Drosophila melanogaster: one gene and its partners. The protein of the gene in region 3 purifies or fractionates together with the protein of the main gene of each other region. This does not show direct contact. Each region holds a gene or a part of one and is shown on either strand. Other genes may lie near its edges. The genes, in order: CG7668, CG10265, eIF1A and Snx3.

The links.
Region 1: the proteins of eIF1A (region 3) and CG7668 purify together in Drosophila melanogaster (affinity purification with mass spectrometry, with the first as the bait; one large-scale study listed by BioGRID). This does not show direct contact.
Region 2: the proteins of eIF1A (region 3) and CG10265 purify together in Drosophila melanogaster (affinity purification with mass spectrometry, with the first as the bait; one large-scale study listed by BioGRID). This does not show direct contact.
Region 4: the proteins of eIF1A (region 3) and Snx3 purify together in Drosophila melanogaster (affinity purification with mass spectrometry, with the first as the bait; one large-scale study listed by BioGRID). This does not show direct contact.

The regions. Positions count from the first base shown.
Region 1 is NT_037436.4:20,000,564-20,006,043, reverse strand, and holds CG7668 (uncharacterized protein), read right to left. Parts: upstream 3,309-5,480; 5' UTR 3,127-3,308; coding exon 3,052-3,126; intron 2,742-3,051; coding exon 1,681-2,741; intron 1,628-1,680; coding exon 1,495-1,627; 3' UTR 1,210-1,494; downstream 1-1,209. Other genes in the region: Tom20 (translocase of outer membrane 20), read right to left, coding at 3,885-4,194, 4,608-4,683, 4,748-4,877.
Region 2 is NT_033778.4:14,991,650-14,995,951, reverse strand, and holds CG10265 (uncharacterized protein), read left to right. Parts: upstream 1-2,116; 5' UTR 2,117-2,200; coding exon 2,201-2,440; intron 2,441-2,523; coding exon 2,524-3,306; 3' UTR 3,307-3,429; downstream 3,430-4,302.
Region 3 is NT_033777.3:18,273,038-18,278,593, reverse strand, and holds the start of eIF1A (eukaryotic translation initiation factor 1A), read right to left. Parts: upstream 3,897-5,556; 5' UTR 3,838-3,896; intron 3,769-3,837; exon of another isoform or gene 3,728-3,768; 5' UTR 3,657-3,727; coding exon 3,453-3,656; intron 414-3,452; exon of another isoform or gene 314-413; coding exon of another isoform or gene 1-313. Other genes in the region: CG7142 (uncharacterized protein), read left to right, coding at 1-313; Vps39 (vacuolar protein sorting 39), read left to right, coding at 4,241-4,310, 4,363-4,835, 4,897-5,146, 5,205-5,452, 5,508-5,556.
Region 4 is NT_033777.3:12,626,410-12,631,891, reverse strand, and holds Snx3 (sorting nexin 3), read right to left. Parts: upstream 3,862-5,482; 5' UTR 3,549-3,861; coding exon 3,372-3,548; intron 3,004-3,371; coding exon 2,908-3,003; intron 2,671-2,907; coding exon 2,440-2,670; 3' UTR 1,397-2,439; downstream 1-1,396. Other genes in the region: Not10 (CCR4-NOT transcription complex subunit 10), read right to left, coding at 1-198, 259-1,014, 1,089-1,177; Vha55 (vacuolar H[+]-ATPase 55kD subunit), read left to right, coding at 4,371-4,443.

The DNA of each region.
Region 1 (5,480 bases), on a different chromosome or scaffold from region 3:
TGGTTTTTGTCGAGTGCAATTTTAAAGAAAGCACTTAACTAATTAAAATGAAGTCCTATTTATTTGGTTCGCCTACAATATTGTTGTTGCTTTGGTTTCTTCTAAAGGAACATATCAAACTGATATGTGAAAAAAGTCTTTAAACTGTATCAAAATTTGGAAACAGCTTTATTTAAATGCTATAGTTTTCATTAAAAACATGGATCCCTGGCAATATATTTGGGTGTCAATTAAGGTTGATGCCCCCTAAAAATATCACAAATCACTAGGACGTATACAAGGAATGGAACCCTTTGGTTTCCCATAATCCTCATTGCAATGGCTTCGCAATTCAAGAAATGTAGCCCAGACCATCGCAGAAGTTTCCTGTGCGGAGGTGTATGTTGTGGTTTATTCCACTGATTTTTGGTTGGATATATTTGGTTTCTCATTATCTGTATCACCACAGGGGGTTATGCAACCCCAATTCACTGTTACACTTATATGTAAAGCAATATTATCGTGGACTATTGGTCAACTCGGACGTATTTGTGGCACACAACACGAATACGTACATATTTCTGCATTTTACAGATAAACATCACTTGCACTGGAAATGCGTATGGGCGCAGATACATTTATCGACTCGCGTATCGTCGCCTAAGCTCGAGTCATATTAACGGAACAACGCGACTTTCGATTGAAACATACTTTCCCTTCTCATTCAATTGCTACCGACGACGCACACCGTTTACTGCGATTTAAAGCAACTTAAACCGCAGTCAATGAGAACAGAAATTCAACTGATTCGACTTTTCGTTTCGAGGTCCTAACGAGTTGGGCCATGTCCTGCGCTTGCAACCTCCAGCTGCAACCTCCAACAGCAACTTCGAGCTCATCCGGACCAGCTTGAGCATGGAGCACCCCTATTTCCCCTTCTGTTATTGAGTCCTTTGACCCTCTCTGGTAAAAATATCCCAGCTTTATTGCGGAGAACATGCATATGTCTGACTTGTTACATGTTTTAGACAAATGTATTTGTTATTGCTAAATATTTTGTGAGGCTAGGAAAATGCTCCACTTCACTGTTAGATGCAATTTGTTGCCTTCTGCAGATTTTTATGTTTTATTTTTTTTTTTTCTATTATGTATTATTATTACTATTTATCAAAATATATTTATATTTTATAGAAACTTGGGCAATTTAATACGGCATTCCTGCGATAAAATCGATTTTATCAAACGCGCCATCTGGTGGGATTTTCATGTAAATTTCCCTCGACCGTAAAATAACAAAGTCGGTATTATTACGATAAAAAAAATACCAAGCGAAGCTAGATTTTACTTGCAAATACAGCATACAGCATTTATAGGACCTTCAAGCCTGTTATCCACTCTTTGGTCGACACTAAAACTTAACATTCTACAATAATTAGGCTGAAAATGAACAGGTAGAAATTATTTTACAACTTTTATTTCCGTGACAATGTTATTTGACAAGCCATTATACTTGGCTCACGGCATTGGTCTGATTAGCATTTTGCACGACTTCAGGGGATATCTATTACCAACATTCCAATTACCCCACCAAATGCCATCGGTCGTGTCCAACTCAACTTTGGAATTCCGATATTTTCCGTTCAAGTTACTGAAAAAGAATTATTTTTCAAAATCATTAAACAAAAACAAGTTCATACATACCAGTTCATTGTACCCCACCATTTCGATGATTCCATTGCAAACGGATTTCCAACAATAATATGGTTTATATGACTGCGAAATGCGTCGCCAGCATTTCCTGAGTATTCGCCAAGGGAAAGCAGTTTGTATTTCTGTTTTTCATCGCCAATAACAAAATTATCATATCTTGCATAAGCACTAGCATTGTCGAAATCGACGAGCTGGATATATAGTTCCATTCGTCGATGTGTCGTCATTTTATGCAATTTTTGTAGGCCAAGCCAGAACTCGCCACCCAAATCCCCACAGCCCGTTATTATATTTGATTCAGTGGCGTTATCGAAACTGCCATCGATTCTACGCTGGATTATCATCCAACCACGACCGGCAGAAGGAATATCCTCGAAAACTGAGGCAAAGGGTTCGAAATCAGGTAGTGTCACCAATTTAATTGAAGGCAACTTGGAAGAGCCCAGTAATACGAATTCATCGTGGTCCTTATTATTAACGTTATACTCAGACAATATCTCTGTCATTTTCACTATCTTTTCGTCCTTCGCCTTTACTGCACCTTCCAATTGCACAATTTTTAGCTTCGACTCGTCAATTTTGAATTCTAGTCTGGCGATTTCCGCCTCTTTTGAGTTCAAAATTTTCTCGATTTCAACAATCTGATCATTCCCCTCTCGAAATTTTCCATTTTCCATATTTAACTCCTTTCGTTCTTTCACAACTTTATCATGCGCTGGAGCACAATTTCCTCCATCGTTCTTCTTAATTGTAATCCTACTCAAGTCGAGATCACTTTGCAAGTCCATAATTTGAGTTTGTAACTTCTGTATGGTCATTTCTTTTGTTTGCGTTACTAAGTCAATCGACAATTGCAGGGTCTTAATAAAATCATCCTTATCCTTGATGCAGTTTTCAAGTATACTGCCCTTCTCCTGTTGGGCCTTCAGATTTATTTCAGCCTCCGCCAACTTTCGGGTGAGTTCCGATATTTTCCTCTCATCTTTTTTCTTATGTTTCAGCATTCCCCGTGCACTTGTGCCCACAAATTCCATTTCCGAATCACTGCTGCTCTGAAAAACGAAAGAGTATACAATATTCGCTGAGAACTATGTGCATGAATTCATGATTACGATCACTATCGGATCTGACTGAGTCTATTCAAAGACACTAGAATCGGAATTTGGGGAAGTACATATAAAGCGAAAAGTTTTTATCAAAGACATTAGAATAATAAAGACATTAGACATTATTATTTTAGTGTCTTTGATTTTTATTTTACTTGTGAATTTATATCAATACACCAAAAGAATTTTCAAATTTCTCACACGTTCTTCTCTATCTATGTAAGTAACGAGAATCGAGAAAAATCTTATTGCTCACCGAATTGTTCTCAGTGCTGGAATCTGGAGAGGATCGCGAATTCTGAGAAAAGTTGTTCTGGTCCTCCGGCTTCATGGGGATTAATTTATCAGCACCACGTTTTATCGTACCTAAAAGCACTCCAAACGGAATTTGCAATAATCCGTGCAATAAATTTAAAGATGTAAAGCAAGTGCCTATATTTGTAACAACTCAAAATACAAAAAAATCCGATGAATTGCACGTAGCTGTTTAGCTCTAAGTGTTACCAGATATGGACTGAGGGAGTTACGCAGTCCGGCTAGAACATGGCATAGGGGGTATTCCGTAAATTTAATTACTGGGTATCATCTTTGAAAAGGAACTTTTGCATTTTCAAACTATTGCTTTAAATAAGTGTATAAGAACCATTTCTCATTTGATTAAGCTGCCTAGATGGCAGTAGTACGCTTTTCCTATAAATAATCACTTATATTTAAATACCAAAGAAACTTTGGAATACCTTTATTATCAAACCGGTTAGGAGATATATGTATTTATTCCCAAGATATTCAACATGTTAATAATCTTTTATTGTTGATAAACTTTCACACACTTTAACACATACCCTGTTATACATACATATTGCAAAACATTTAGGTCTGCAGAGTTGATCTTTGATATTCGCCTAACGTAAATACCACGCACAAAACAAAGCTCAATTGTTAAGTGTTAACAGTTTACGCATATTTATTTGTATGTATTGGGAACATCCAGAGAAATCAATATATAAAAAAAATATAATGTTTATATGTGAAGCCCTTAATTTCTACTGTTGAAATTTATATCTCAATTTCTGTAGCCATCTCCAAGTACTATTCGAGGTCGTCGATACTTGCGTTTCCAGATGAACACTCTATAATTTTGGCTCCGTCCAGTTGTTGCTCCGAGCTCTGCCCCAAAACGATTGGCCCGTCGTTGCCCTCGGCCGCTCGATTGCCGAACTCCTGCATCTTGACGATCAGCATCGCGAATACTTGAGCTGGAAGGGAGGATTGCAGCACCTGCAGCAGACGAGCCGGCTGGCCACACACGACGATGGCATTCGCCAAGTGCTCCACGCCACTCTCGAAATCTCCGCGGGCGATCAGGGTCTCGCCCAGCTGGATTTCTTGAAGGAAATATCTGCAAATATCATGGTTTAATTAGTTTGGAACAGCTGATTCGATGCACACTATTACGAATTAAATTAATGCCAGGCAAATTAGGTGCATATAAATAATATAAATTGTGCACAGTTGCAACAATAATAACTATTTGTATATTCAAATTATGAATTTCTTGGCAGGAAGCCTGCTGAGAATCCAAACACTGAAATGTGCTTGTTAATCCAAGGCAGTGGAGTCTTTAGATGCCTGAGGCAATAAGCAGCAACACGATGAACACGCAAGTGTAATGGGACTCCACATAAAATATGTACATCGATTTGGCTGGAGAAACATATGTGGGCTTGTTTGTTTGAATGGAGGTGTATTGAATCGCCAGGCACCACTACACGTGCCACATTATATAATGCGACTCCCATGGGAGTGTCCTACCTTTCGATGGCTTCATGGTCGTTCAGATTGGGAACTCCAGACTTGGCAGTGCCGGTTTTCTTGTTGCGACGGCGACCTAGGAAGTGATGAAATGATGAGTTTCTTTCATAATTCAGTTGGGGCGCAATGGGGATTCTTACGCTCACGGACTTTCTTCTTGTACTCGGGATCGCTGCGGCGCTTCTTGTCGAAGTAGATGCAGTATCCAATAAACAGAGTTCCAGCTACTCCCGCTGCAATGCCGATTGCAGTTTTGTTCATTTCAATCATATTACTACGGAAATCCTCTGTATTAACTTGGTCTTATTTTACATTCCGCATGTGCCATCGATTTACATAAAACAAAAATCGATATCGCCTACAACTACTGTTGTTTCATGTTTTTCACTTGTTTCGCACTAATTTGAAACGGCGGACTGGAACACTGTTTTCTTTTTTAAATTTTGCTAAGGGATATTTATTTAATTTTAAGTAAGAGATTTAAATGTATTTTTTTTTAGTTTATTCAGAAATACTGTGGGATCAAGTTATAATACGCTAAGAAATAATCGTAAGCTCACTTCTTGTATTATATTTATTTAACTTGCATTATTCGCTTAAAATCCCTATCCTCCAAAACTAATGTTTTTAATTTTCTTTTTTTATTTTTTTTACTTTTATTTTGTAATTACTTAAATAAAAAATTGTTCGCATATATGCATATCTTCCGTTGTGTGAAACAGCTGACGACTTAATTCAGTTTTTTTTTTTAATTTTAAATTTACCACTTTTTGAAGATATTTTGTTGATAACTCCAGAGTAGATTTTATTATGGCATAATGCATGTTGAGAATTTGGTCAAGGCCTATTGTTCGTTAAAATATTTGTTATAAT
Region 2 (4,302 bases), on a different chromosome or scaffold from region 3:
GCTTTCATTTTTTTTGCTAGTTCACTCGGCTGCGAAACCCCTTGAAAAACAGTAAACAAAGAGCAGGACAATAGTGGACGGGTGGTGGGTGGTGGGCGGCTGGGCGGACAGATGGGTAGGTGGTAATGCCCTGCCATGGCATGTGTTCATTGTCCAAGAGCAGTTCATGCCTGGTTACGCATCCCTATGTGTGTGTGTGTGCCAGTGAGTGTGTGTGTGTGTGGTGGGGTGCAGGACAGGTCGGGGGGCAGTTGGCATATCAACTGGTCGGACATGGTGTAAACACGTTTAATGTTGTTGCCATTGTCGTTGCCGTTGCCATTGCCATCGCATGGCTGCAGTTGCTCCTCCTGGCAAGCTGGCTGGCTGGCGAGCCCTCGGAGTCACGGAGCCATGCAGCCATGGAGCCATGGAGCCACCTAGCCACGGAGCTCGTCCTCTTCTGGCGCCGTCTCCTTTGCCACGTTTAATTTAATCTACTGGCCAAAGCTGCAGCCGCTACCTTGACATGGTCTGCACTTCAATCTGCATGCACGGCGTACAGTGGTGCCTGGCTATATCCAAACTGTTAGCAGCCAACAAGCTAGTTTCGAATTGTGTCTAATTTGTGTAGAAGCATCACAGCACAGTCAGGCGTTTTAAGGGAAGCTAATATCTTCTATTTAGGATCAGTACAATAAACAATACAAATAATAACAGTTATATACTTTAAGCGGTATCCACTGTAGTTTGCGTCCTGGCTGCTCGAGTGCACCGCAGGTCCATTTAACTTAGCTTTGGCAGTGGCAGTTAGTAGTAGTAGTAGTAGTGGCAGTGGCAGCGGCAATGGGGTTCCAGCTAGCTGGCCACCTTCTCCGCTTCCTCGACTTGGTGCATCACTCAAATGCCGGGGAGCCCCGCAGGCCCCCAAACGAGGCGACAGGAATGCGTGTGTGTAGCAGAGCGTGTGCAAGTATGAGTGTGGGCAACGTAATTTGCATGGTCAGCTTGCAGTTTTGGGACACACAGAGTGGCAAGTTGTGCCTCGCTCTCGTCCCTGGCTTAATTGCATGCAGGAATAGCAACTGCAGGAGCAGCCTCATCAGCATCGGCAACTTCATCCAATTGCCGCTGGAGCTGCGACCCACAGATCCATACAATTTCCGGGCTGTAAGCGATGCGGCTCTTTAAAGTTCACTTATTAAGTTGCAAGAATAGCAGGAAAATTCAACCAAAAGTGGGCCAGTTTGAAAAATATCAAGAATATGCCAACGATACTCACCTACGCTCTGCCGGGTGATTATGCTGCACGTGGTTCGACATGGTCCGTGCTCGTTATGCGGAACATTACAACAACAAAAAAAAAAAATTTAATATATATGTAGGTACGCAAAAAGTGCTGGATTTCCTTTTCATTTGTTTTCCACACACACTAGACAGACATTCGAGTTGAAGTCAAAATCAGACAATGTTCCCTCCATATGGCTCCATATCACATTGGTCGAAAAAATGGCAAGCTTACAAATGGCGCAGTCCCCGGCTGCATAAACGATGTCATTTTTTGGATTGCCCAATTTTTTTTTAGGTAGCTTGCGAATCATTTGCAAGCGATTTAATTTCAATTGCATGGGCGTTAATCAAAGGAAACAAAAGCCAACACGGGAAAAAGAACAAAGAAAACGCTAGTCCACTTATTCGACAATGTAAAAGAAAGCAGAGAGTTACTATTAATGCAGCAAAAAATGAGCAGGAGCAGTTCAAATAAAATCTTTCCAGTAATTTTCGATTCATGGACCAAAAACCGTAAACAAAAAAATCGTTCTATTTTACATAGTGAAAGTATGTTTTCATCTATTTTTTATCAATCTGAGCAAAACTACATATAAACATAAATTATTTATATAATATTTATATTAAATTATTCCAAACATTTTATTATACCATTTATATATCGTCATCCTTATCAAATCTTATATCTAAATGTTTTTTTTTTTAATGTGTAATGTGTTTTTCCTATTTGGTTTTTTGTGTGCTTTGAATTTAGGCGCGCAACAAAATGAATAGCAACTGTTTGGTATTTTTATGTCAGATTTTGTACCAACTAAAAATCGTTGACATCTACTACGTTTCAACGTCTGGCCACTCTGCACGAATGCAAAAACAAACTGAAATAATTTTTTAATACCATTTTTCTTCTTGGCGCGAATTGGCTACAAAAAAAATGAATGGATCGCGTAAAATAAAGTCCATGAAGACGATTCGCCTTGGCGACGTTCTATACGACGACCAAAAACGACTTCTAACGCTGTGCCGCAGCTGCGAATGCCACTTTATGACGCTCCAATCGTTCCAACGCCACCTAGCCGATTGCCCCGGAGTAAAATACATAGTAACGCCGATCGAACCGCTGGCATTTGATGATGCCAATCGGGAAACGAGACTGGTGAATGGCAGACAGGAGGTAGGCAGCTAAGGGAGCTCCATGATCCGGCGTTGCCCTGAAAACTTCCTGAGAATCCTTTTGATTGAACTCACTTCTTGCAGATTCACATCTACGACCTGGAGGCGGTTAAGAAGAACACCAACACGGCCATCGATTGGGAGGCAGAGCTGGAGGATCCACGCTGGTACACCAATCCCAAGCCCACCGTGCAGACCATACCAAAGACAAATTCCAAGGAAAATATAGTAAAGGAGGATGTAGTGCCGCTCGCCAAGGAGCCTCAGGAACCGGAAGGGGTGCCTGCGAAACGTCCGCGTAGCCCTCCCACCACCCGACGTACCATTCTGACCTCCCAGCAGCAGCGCAGATCCCGTGCCTGCTTGACTTCCCCTCAACCGCCAGCAGTAAAGATGAAAAAGGCCATCATTCTGGTGCCCACTGTGCTGGAAGATCTGAAGCGATTGCAGGACACGGAGAAAAAGGAAAGGATTCCAGAGGCACCACCAGCTCCTGTACATCCTGTAAGGTCATTGCAATCTCGTGCTACCGGGACAACGCAGTCAACATCTCAATTGGTACCCATGAAATTTTCTCCTGCATCGAAGCTTATTATACCAGTCTCTTCAAGGATATCTGAAGTACCAGAACCTCCCAAGACGCCCGAGAAACCAGTTCCTACCATAACAAGCAAATCAACTCCTCCATTGGATGGCACCCAGAAAATCCTAAACAAACTCAGAGCATGCGGTGTGGAGGTGAAGCGAGCAAGTACCCAATTGAATGCCACGACTGAGCTAAATCCAACCAAAAATCAAGAGACCTTGGACATCATGAGAAAACTGCAATCCAAGGGCATCAGATGCACCAAAGTAAGAAAATCGTAGTTGTATTCGCCGTAGTGTAAGGATGGTGCCATTAAATGTGCCTCTGGAGGCGAGGATTTAGCAATATAACTTTATTTAATTTAAATGGAGATTAATAAATTCCCGGATAGCGTTTATAACTTTAATAGCAAGCGAGTCTCTTTATTATCAAATCGCTTAATTTTAAATGTTTTATTTTGGTTTTTTTGCTCAAGCAGTGTGACCTTTTGATGCGACAACGTTATCGATTTAATATATCGACTATACACTAGTGGTGGCTATTTAGCTTATAAATGTATTGAACTATATTAAATAATTAAAACTATATATCACTCAAACAATGCCGTTTAAATACTTTGAAGACGGTAATCACATGTTCCATACAAAATGTTAACAGTCCTAGCTTTTTTTATGTTGTCCATTTATGTAGCTGAAAAGTTGGCATCACTGTGTAAGAAGAAGAAGCAGCTTGTTGATTTTTGGTGCCGCACGCGTTTCGGTCGAAAGTAATTGGAAATATTTGTGCTTGCGCCCGGCGTTATATATATTTTGTAGTACTCGAAACACTGCCGAATCCAAATCCAAAATTCGCGTGTGCACACCCACCTGCCGAGGCGGTACCAATTAAAAGGTAGGTCAGCTGACGACGATGGCAGCCAATTCGGGCTTACATAATTTGGGGACAGAATATTTATTTTGCCACCTTAGATTTGGCATTCAATGCAGTGAAAATGACATCATTTTGAAATTTTTAGAACCGCTTGTGTTTTGTTTGGTGAATTTTATAATATTTGCAATATTTCGGCTGCAGTTGCATCATTGACAGCGAACCTTAAGTTTAGTTCTCTGTAAAGGTCACCAAGCCCAGACTTAAAAAACAGATGTTTTTTAACAATCTTGGTACGTCCCACTACTAAAGCACTTATAATTTAATATACATTTAATCCGCCAGTAAAACACCTATAAATTTGAATTAGAATTCAATTTTATTCTCATTTCAAGTTTCAATATTATTTC
Region 3 (5,556 bases):
GGCCAACATGCCCATACTGGACATGGAGTTATGCGAACAGATTCTCGCCCGCTCCGGACTCCCATTGCACGAGACCAATCTGTGCACTGGCCCGCTGACAGGAGGCGTTAGCATCTGCACCGCCGACTCCGGCGGACCATTGATTCAGCAGTGCTGCGAGGAGCACTTCGAGCAGGCCAACATTGTCATCGGCATTGTGTCCTGGGGCAAGATGCCATGCGGCCAGAAGAACGCGCCCTCGGTCTTTGTTCGCGTCTCCGCCTTCACGGAGTGGATCAACCAGGTCATCAGCACGGCCACCCACATTATGTAAGATCATGTAATAATGATCATCGGAAAGATACTATACAACTTAGGCAGATTCGCCCACAAATTAGCGCTCGAATGTGAAGATATCGAAAAACGAAATATACAAAAAAAAAGACACAAAAGATTGAAAAACCCAAAGAAAAATGTAGATTCTCTAGACAATCTCACTAGGAAAATAAGATGAACAAATATAGAATTATATACTGCCACGATTCTAGTAATTTAAGACTTAGACTAAGCTACCAAAAAAAAAACATGAATAAAATTGTGAATACTTAAATAGAACAAAGATCTCAACTGTCTTCTTATTTTTAGCTTATCTAGCCAAGTAGGATGAGTTAAAATAGAATAAATGTGACCTATTTTACTCCGCAGTTATTGCGTAAGATAACTATCTTGCTTTTCTAACCAAATTAGCTCAACAAACAAGAACCAAAATAGATCGCACACCGGATCTTTAGTTTGGATTTAAATCCAATTGCGCAGATTGAATTAGAAAAGTGCGTATAGAGCCACCAGAGAGCTCCTTCAAATTTGGCCCAGTCGAAATAGATTGTGAAATAAGCTGAGGCGCGGGCAGTCGGTCGGCCAGATAAGAATTCGCGATATAATCCCATTCTGTTGCTGGGCGGGGAGCAGGCGGAGTTGTTGGGGTACGAAAGCACAATTCACTTGGCGCCTTTCCACGCATTAGTCATGCTCCCGAGCAACGTCTGGCCAAATTAAAGGGGCATCGGGAGCATGTTACGACTGTCAGATTGGGATCAGTGTGACTAGATTAGCTGGGAGCACGTAGAAAGCGCTAAATTGCCACCATCAGCTGACTGCTGGATGATTGACAGACTTTTTTGGGACAGTGTGTACGAAAATTACTGCCCTTGTTTTTGGGCCCAGACATCTGAGGATCGAGAGCTCGTTGAACCTTGAGTCGTCTGTCCAACTGCTGCACTTTGAGCCCCCAGAAACTGAGTAATTGGCTACCGGTCAGCTGTAATTCCGCACTTCCAATTTCCAGGAATTATCCATATCTATTCAACTTGACAGATGGCCTAGAAATTGTGAAGCACTCCCCACAAGCCCATCACACGGTATTCAAATGTTATTGTACTATCAGATCAATTATAGGGCATTTTCAATAAAATAGATAAGAAATAAAGAAAATTAATTATTTGGTTATTTGTGTGAAGGATTATTTATAATCGCTGAGTTTTTATTTGCCAAATTAGTAATGCAAAAATCTCAGTTGCAATGAAAAGCGTATTCAACACCAACATACGTGTACATAAGTTTGGGTTCAAAAATCTAATCACAGAAGTGCAAGCGCGAATAAATTCGTTGTTAATTCAATGGCGTCTCAGCCACATGCACCAAACGAATCCCCTACTTTACGGCCATTACGTAACATATCACTTTAAGATTAGGTGAGATTATAAATCCATTTATGGAGATCATGGCGCAAACTAAAAAACATAAAACTGCGTCGCACTTGCTTGCAAATTATAATTGGGTTTCCGTTTTTTCGGACACGACTTTTAACAGTAGATTAGATAAATGCCCCAAACCCCTTGACCAAGTGCGGTCAAAGAATAATTGCCAAGTCAGGATGTTGCATGAGGTTCATTTTATGGCACAGCACGTGCTATGAATCTTTGAAGTTCTTTCACCAGCTTCGTTTGGAATTGCATGTAAATGTAGAAAATCCTTTTTACTAATGGCATTGAATAGTTGCAGTGGTGCAGCAGGTGATTTACTTTGTTAATCAATGTCCAATAATCTGACAGGTTCTGTTCTAATTTATGGCGCTTATAAAGATAAAAAGTTCAAGATCTAATACCCGAAGAATTCATTGGAATTTCAATTGAAGAAATATCGCTAGCTAGTGAACTTCTATTTCGATCTGTTTACTTGCATTTACAGTGCCAATGATTGGCAATTAACGTATGACATGATTTTCAAGAGTCTGGAATCTTTTTGGTTGCGTAGTTTCCTTTATAACTTCATGTCTGATTTGTTCGCTCCGATTGGAGTCCACTTCTGGTATTGTATATTTACTTGACACCTACTAGAAATCGAAGACGTCACTAATTACGCCGCGAATCTTGACGCAGTCGATTTGGATGGAATCTTATTTATGACGCCCGTCTCCTGCGGCGTGAAGCACAATCCAAAATTTGACATGTGCTCATTCCCTTCGGAAGAAACGATCTAATCTCTATATGGACGACCGTGACCACGACCAGGGCTAACTCAGGTAGGTGATAAGGAGGAACTACCATTGCGGACGTATGGTATTTCATGGAATGCAGTTTGACCACCCAAATTAGTGCTATAAAGGAGGCTGTATTCGCAATTGAAAACATGTAACTGAATAGCTAATTCAAATGCAAAAGATATACGCAAAATTTTGCGTAAGGTGTACTACCATGAAAAAATTGAAAAAAAAAGTGCGTAGCAAAACTTTTTCACTAGCTTAGTTTCAGAATCGCTGAAGTGAAAACTGACTATATATATCATACTTCTTATGATATATATATATATACTTATATGATATATCATACTTCTATTGTTTAAAATGATATATATTGTATCAATAAAATTAAATTTCATATGGTTTTAAGTAGACAGTAAAGTGAAATTGACTATAACCTCGACAGAATAGTACTTATTTTAAGTATTACGCCTTTTTACATTTCAAATCGAATTATTTGAAAGAATTAAGTATCGGCGGTCACCCTGTATTTGCAGTGCTATTGCTTTGCTTTCATCTACATACATACATCAGTGCATAGGCACTTGCGTATTATTAATCAGCCGCCCCGTCCACACCGCCCACTGCTCTTTTGTTAATGCATTCGCACAAGGACGATGACACCCACTCAATAATGGACCAGTAAAAGAGAATTGCAGAAAAAGAGAGTTGAAAATTAGGTATAGAAAGGTCGAAAGTTAGCAGGGTAATGCAAAATCCCCCAAAATCACAAAAACTGCCTGCATTTCAACAAAAACAATAACGTAAATACGTAGCATTCGCTGGCAATCAATGCCAAAATGGCTTAAGAGAGCCACCTTAGAGAGGGGCACCCACTCAACGCAAGCGAAGAGAGCACAGGCGAAACAAAGAGCGTAGTCAGAGCAGCACTCACCTTCTTGCGAAGTTTCCCCCGAATGTGACACAGGCGTTTGACGCCATCAAAGCACATTGCCTCCAGACGACCGTTGCCCAGCATCTTGGTCACCTGCGCGTACTCCTGTTGGTCCTCCTTGAAGATCAGCTCACGCTTCTCGAACTCGTTCTCGTTCTTACCACGACGACGATTCTTGCCTCCTTTTCCTTTATTCTTGGGCATTTTGGCTGTTTGCTGTTGTTGCTGTGCAGCTACTTTCGATGTTGTTGCTGTCTGCGGGCTTGTTGGCGACCCTGGAGCGGGAACGGGGTAAAACTGTTACTCAACGACTTCACTGGGTGGGTAGTAATGCAATGAAAACATTCAACCCGAAATAAAGCGACAGAGTTGTTTCAAAACTTACAATTTTGTCAAATGTAAATGTGACAATTTCGCCTCGCTAAAGTGAAAAGGACTAGAGGTGGACGGTTTCGCGGGGAACCAGTATATCGAACTGGTGCTATCGACAGCAATGCAGAGTCTGGCAGCATTCGTTTAAAGTATCGTAATTTAAAATTTCACTCAACTTTTTAGTCATTAGCGATTGAATCTTAAATTATAACATGTACAAATTTTATTTTCTACTTTGTATATTTAAGTTATTTCGCTATCACCATAAGAGGAAGAAATCGATTTACCACCGCTAAAGCTATCGATATCTATCATCATCAGCTATCATTAGTGGTACTCCCATCTGGTTTGTTTATAAGCTTTTTTACGAAAATAAATTGAGGCGGAGGAGACCGAAGTTTTTCCACTTGGCCAAGATGCACCAGGCCTACAGTGTTCACTCGATCCTGAAACAGGGCGTGCAGATAGAGTCAATTGCGGCATATGGTGAGTGGAATTTTCGGTGCACAGCTATTACTCACCGGACGCATTTTTTCAGGCAACCATGTCATCTTGGGCACCCGCAGCGGACAGCTGATCATGTACTCTGTGGACGAGGAGACGGGCGTGGACATGCGGATGTTCAACAAGAACTTCAGCCGGAAACCGATCACCCAAATGGAAGTGATTGCCTCGGAGAACCTGCTCTTCGTACTCACCGACTTACAGGTGCAGGTGTGCGACATTCGGCGGATTGAGAGCAACTTCGCTTTCATGCACAGTGCGCCCGACACGAAGGGATGCACCCTGTTCACCATGGACGTGGACACGCCGAAGTCCACAACCGGACGTGTGGCCACCGTCATACGGGTGTGCTGCGCTATCCGGCGGCGTCTTGTGTTCTTCTTTTGGAAGGAGGACAAGCTTAATTCCCTGGAATTGATCATCGAGCTCAGCGATGTGCCCAGGACACTGTGCTGGGTGGGCCATGCTGTCTGCGTGGGCTTCAAAGACGAATATGTTGTTTACGATGTGAGAAATGCTTTAAAGTCGATTTACTTCGTATTTTAAAGGTCTGCATATCCAATTCTAGATATCAGGAAAAGCACCAAAGAAGCACAACCTCTTCCTTACCTCCTCTAGTATCAGCAGAGATCCCTGCATTTGCCTTATCCGGAACAACATGTTGGGCATCTCTAAGGACAGCTACCTCGTCGTAGTAGATCCGAGTCAGTACAAAGAATCGGATGGAATCAATAACTCAACAGATGTCCGGCCAGCTGCCATGGACAGCAATAGTTCCCTAACTCCTCTGCTCTGGTCAAGTCCGCTTTTAGATCTGGGTACGATACTCACTATTCACTTCAAGCCAATTTCTAAATCACATTATCTTCATTACAGTCTGGGATGAGCCATTCGCTGTGGGTCGTGTCAACAACGCCATCGAGGTGCGCAGCCTAGTGGGCAAGGACACCCTGGTCCAGACCATTCCCGAGCTACAGAAGACGAAATTCCTGGTTCACGCCGACAAGGGAACCATCTTTGCCGCCGCCACCTCCGAGCTTTGGTGCATTCGAATGGTGGAAATCCCTATCCAGCGTCAGCAGTTGCTACAGCAAAAGAAATTCCAACTGGCTATTGAGCTGACGGTGAGTCCGATAAACGAAATCAAAATACGACGACTACAACAAACTTTATGTTCAGCAAATCTCCGATGAACCTGCCGCGGACCGAGCCCAAACCATTCGCCAGA
Region 4 (5,482 bases), 5.6 Mb from region 3:
CCGAGGTTGTAAAGGATCTCGCAGGACCGTGCCGAACTCATGGTTTGCAGCGTACTCTGGCGCAAATTTCGCGCCAGCTGCTGGTCAAAGTTGAGCGCATTTTGGAAGAACTTGGCGGCGATGGCATAGTGACGCACTCTTAAGTGTATCACTCCCATATTGTTGGCAATGCACGTGCTCAGCTGGGGGGTTATAGTGCTATTAAGATAGACAATAAAATAGTATGTCTTCTTTGAACTTAAAATGAAGCAGACTCACCCCGCTTGTGTACACTCGTTATTGATTCGCATAAGCTGCTTGGCGGCCATCTGAAAATCCTTCATGATGTAGTACTGCTGAGCCTTCAGAGCAGCGTACTCCGGCGTGCCGTCTTCCTGAATAACCACCGGTTTTCGGTTAAGCACGAGCGTTATTAGCTGCAAGAGCTGCAGACTACCGCCCAGACCGGGCACAGCTCCCTCCACAGCTGCTCCTCCTGGTGAGGCCACCACTGAACTGTTCGTCGCTGCTGACGGAGGTGCTGTGCCGACAACAGCTGCCTCTTCGGCCGCATTGCTGCTAGGCGCTGTGGCCACCAGGTTAAGCTTGTACTGCAAGTAATCCAGAAAGGCCTCGGCTCGGTTTAGTTGATTGGTGGCCAGCAGCAGCTGTAGCTGTAGTGTGGCCACCAGCGCTGCCATTGCCTTCTCCAGGGCTTCCAGACGAGCCACTAGTGGTGCTAGTTTCTCCAGTGCCGTGCCGAACATATGGCGGTGATAATAGATGACCGCCCGGTTGTAACGAGCAACAGTGGCGGCGGCAGCTCCCTGCTTAAGGCTCAGCCCGCTGGACACGTCTCCGGGCGCATCTGCATCGGCGGTTAGAGCCTCCAGTTCTTTCAGCAGGACGGAGTGTTGGGTGCACCCGGTTTTGTAGTAGCTGACCACCGCCCGGTTGTGCCGCAGGACAGGACCACTGCTCTCGCCGCGCGTCTCCAACTCCTGGAGCAGTTCCAAGCAGCGATCAAACTCCGAGCTAGAATGAGGAGCAGCCGGAAAGGAGTGGCGGTTATGGGTGCACTTCCCGGTGACACGCGGATGAACACTCACTTGTTGAACTGCTCGTGCGCCTGGCACAGCAGACTGTAGTTCTCGTCCTCGCCGGCCTGCGTTTTGGTGGGGGATTCCGCCGAGTCCATGCCAAAAATAAATAAAAACAAAAAAACCGAACCAATCCACAGATGACACAGCGTTGCCAGAATCAACAAGCACAGCGTTGCCACTTTTAACCGTAACTAAAGCGGTTAACCTTATTAATAAATAAGTTAATTCTTAACATTAAACAACTTGTTAAATTTCTTGTTAATTTATTAATTAAAAATTAAATTGTTAATATGAACAAATTAAAATATATTCTATATAAAATTTTAACTTTACAATGGTCAAATTGGCATTTTGCTGTCGATAGGTGGCAGCACATCACTAGTCTAGATTTGCAGCGCGCGAAACCTATACCTTTATTTCAACTGAGACTTTTGTTTGTGATGATATATAATATTTAGAATAATAAAATATCCATTTATCGTTTACAATTTTTGATCCACCTACCCACCCAACTGTAATTATCCTTGCATTCAATCGAAGTTTCCTGTTTCATCATATTGTTATTAATCCTCGCCTGGTTTATATGATGGGAACTACATAGATTCAACATCGACCAGTTGAAGAACAAACTTCCATCCCGCAGAATTGGCTAGGAAAAAGGCTAATATTTTATACAAAACTCAACTTAATCTTCAGTTGCGCATCATTTTCAAGCACATTCAAATAATATCAGCAGTTCAATATTTTTGAATTATTTTAATTTGATTCGAAGTACAATATTATTCACTAAACTGTTTCAAAATATTCAATAATTTGCATACACTTACAAGGGATCGATTTTGGGGTCAGGATGGCTCCCTTATTTTATTTGCTGCTTCATTACCGCTGCAATGGTTCAAAACGAAGAAACTGAGGATCGGGAAAATGGGAGGGGCAGCTCCTACTTTCGAGACTCATTTAGCGAGGGCGTAGTAGGCATGTCTTATGTACACTATTCGTAAATATGTGTATTGTGTATAATATATATATATGTGTATGTATATTGTTATGTATACCATATAAACTTGAATTTAGCATTAAAAATTCCCAATGCTGGTTTTTAACTAATCCCCGGGGGCTGAGAGGGGCTCAACATTAACTGAGCAGCAGCACTTCCCGCCTCGTATCGCGTCGCATAACAGATCCCTTCTCCACCAACCTACATCATCGCTCATCTGCTCCATCCTCCTCCAATCCGGGCAAGCACACACATTCACACGGCTTCCCATAAAGATTTCGTAGCAGGTTTGTTCGTTCGAGTTTTTGCTTCATTGCATTGCTATGGTTAGGGGGTTTCGATTGCGCCGGACTAAGCTGCTTATGTGTTCCGAATCTTGCCGGGCACGTAGTTCTTATCTATGACATTCTCCTGCAGGAACATATGCAGGCAGCGCTCGTTCTGCGCCAGCGGATGTCCGGCTATCTTGTTGATGAAGGCCTCCAGTCCCTTGCGCCGCTCCTCGATGAAGCTTTCGTCAAAGATGCCCTCGTCGCCGCGGAAGGGCATCTGCCGCTTCCATGCCTTTCCTGGGAGTGGTGGCACCACAATCTGCGGGGATATGTATGTTCATGATTAAATACTCTTCAGGCGCTTATCGAAGTTTCCGTTTTCACTTATAAAACTCAGGGTTAAGTTTCCTCTTAAGGATTGAAACTTTTCTAGTGGCTTCTTATAATTACAATGTATTGTTTCGTAATTCTATCTAAATAGATTCTGAATAGTGCGGATTTTGAATCTATTAAAGTGAAAACGAAAGACTACCGCCTGGATCACACTTGTCCGTACCTTGCTATCCCGCTCCAGCTCGTTTCGCAGCCACTCAAAGTCGCTGTAGCGTCGCCTGACACTGGACTCCTTTACCTTAAAGACGGGCAGATTGGTCTAAAAAAGGAGCGATGGTTAATCATATGTGGTGGCCAATCTTATAGAGTAATTCAATGAAAGGTCGGTGCCGCATAAAGGCACCCGCATGCCGCATTTCCGTGACTCAAGCCGTGACACTGGAATCAGTGCTCTGCACTTGTGACTAATGTTTATCGGCCGGCTCGCTTTATAGGCGTATCACCCGCACTCACACACACACACACACACACACACGCACGCACACACACATGCACAGCGAGACAAAGTCGCACGAACACATGCACACAAGTGTGTGAGCGAATTCCAGCGATTATCAATGGTTTTTTCGGTGAATTTTGGAAGGTGCATAGGTGGTGCCCCCATGTACATGTACTACGATCACTCACCCGCATCCGGACCTCGTAGTCCGTGTAGCGCTTCTTGCCCGCCGCCATGGTGGTCAGCGGATTGACCACGTCGATCTCCAGGAAGTTGGCGGGCACGGCGTACGCATCGTCCAGTGTTTGCTTCTTCACGTTTAGGCGGCGGGTGGCGTCGGCGGTTCCATCGGACTCAACCATCATAGTGGTGCAATGCCAGGGGCTCCGGATCGGCAGAGCTATAGACGCCCCTTTTATCGGTTGGAAGAAACGGGTTTTGCACTGGCTATCTCTCTTTGTGCACTTCTTTGTCGCGGCTCGCTGCCTCCGATGTCCCGGATTCTGGTACTATTCAATTGCTGTCCCCGAGCACTGCTTTGTTTTACTTTCTGGGTGTCCAAGTGCCGCAGCGGGTAAACAACTTTTGTAATTTAATTAAATTTGTTCCATTAAAAAACTTTCCAATAATTAACAGAACTGTGCTGTGTGAGTTAACAGTAGGGGTGGTACAAATCAATGCTTCCAAATTTATCGATAACATACGGCGATATGGCAGCTCTCTGTGGGTGAAAAACACTGCTAACTCCAGTGTAGGTAAACAGACTTGTGAGTGCGTAGCTGCCATACCGATTTCGTCACCGGTTCATTTGATACCATATGGCAATGTGGCAGCCCTGCTGCGGTGTGGAACTCCACTAAATGGCAACACTAACAATTAGTGTTGTAAAGCGCGCGAAACGGAAAGTTCCTAACGCGTGACGGGTCATGTGACGGCACGTGACGTCACAGCAGATTCACATTCAGCAATACTTTCAGTTCCAGGGCAATTTTTCATCGTACTCGCAACGACTTCGCAGGCCAAAATTTTGCGTGTGTGTCGCTCAGTACTGTTTCGTAGCTGAAAAATTGTATGTGCTTGTAAAAGACCACGTCCGAATAGTGGCTAAAAGCTAAAATCGTATCTAATTGCAGCTCGAAATTTGCAGTGCACTTTCAAGGTAGAGGCGCAGAAAAAGTCTATCCAAGATGAACGCCCAACAAGCCCAGCGGGAACATGTCCTCGCCGTCTCCCGGGACTTTATCTCCCAGCCCCGCTTGAGTGAGTAATCCACGGAATTTGCAAATAAGTGAAATATCAAGAAATGCATTCGCAACCCAATCAAGTGACCGAAAAAAAAAACCCAATAAGAAAATGCCAAGAAAGTCCGCCATGACAGTTTGCACGAATCTGGTGTGAGGCGAAGTAGAGAAAAAATCAATAAATTCTTGCGACACCCACAAAAACACACAATTAACAACGTAACAGAATGAAACCTATAGAATAATATTTCATATAGAGCTTTAAATGTTCTACGCTGATCAGATCGTAATGGGGAGCAGCCCATAATCATGGTTAACGCTTATTGAAAATTTTCGCCGTCACATGACCGTTCGCTGCTCAGCTGTTTGCGTTTGCCATTCAAAGCTGAACGCACACACTTAAAGGCACCTGACTGCGAACGGGGTGGGTGGCATAACTGACGATTGATCGGTTCGGTCGATAGAGAGAATTTCAATGTTTTTTATGTTGGCTGTATTCATGTGTCAAATTAGTAGCCATTGTAGATAAAAATATAGTTGCATTGTTTTATGCAGCCAGTCAGTGTAGGCTTGTCTTTTAATGCAATTTATATATTTATCTTCGCTGCATATTTCAATCCCTTTTTCCTATCTAATTCCCATAAGATTCCAACTGCAGCTCGTGGCAAGGGCTAAAAACCAGTTGGACAGTCAGCTGACATAATTTAGCCTCCCAGTCAACACCCCCCTCGCGCCTACACTTTTCTTTTGACGTTTGCTTTCTTATCAGATTCCGACTTTCATGTGAGCATTGCGCGACTCGTGTTTTTGTTGGAACTTTATCTAATTGGAAGACGAAGAAAGCAATGTGCTACAAAGTAAAATTATTAAAACTTCGTTTTTATTGAAAAAAAAGTGATTAAAAGAGAAACAAATATTGAGCTGCCCTTTTAGTATATTATTTCCAATGACATCTATAAAAACAACTTAATTGTAATTTTTTTTAAAAAAAGATCCCAATTTTTATGGTCACTTCAGTGATTTAATTAATGACCTCATGGACATTGCAACAATTAAGA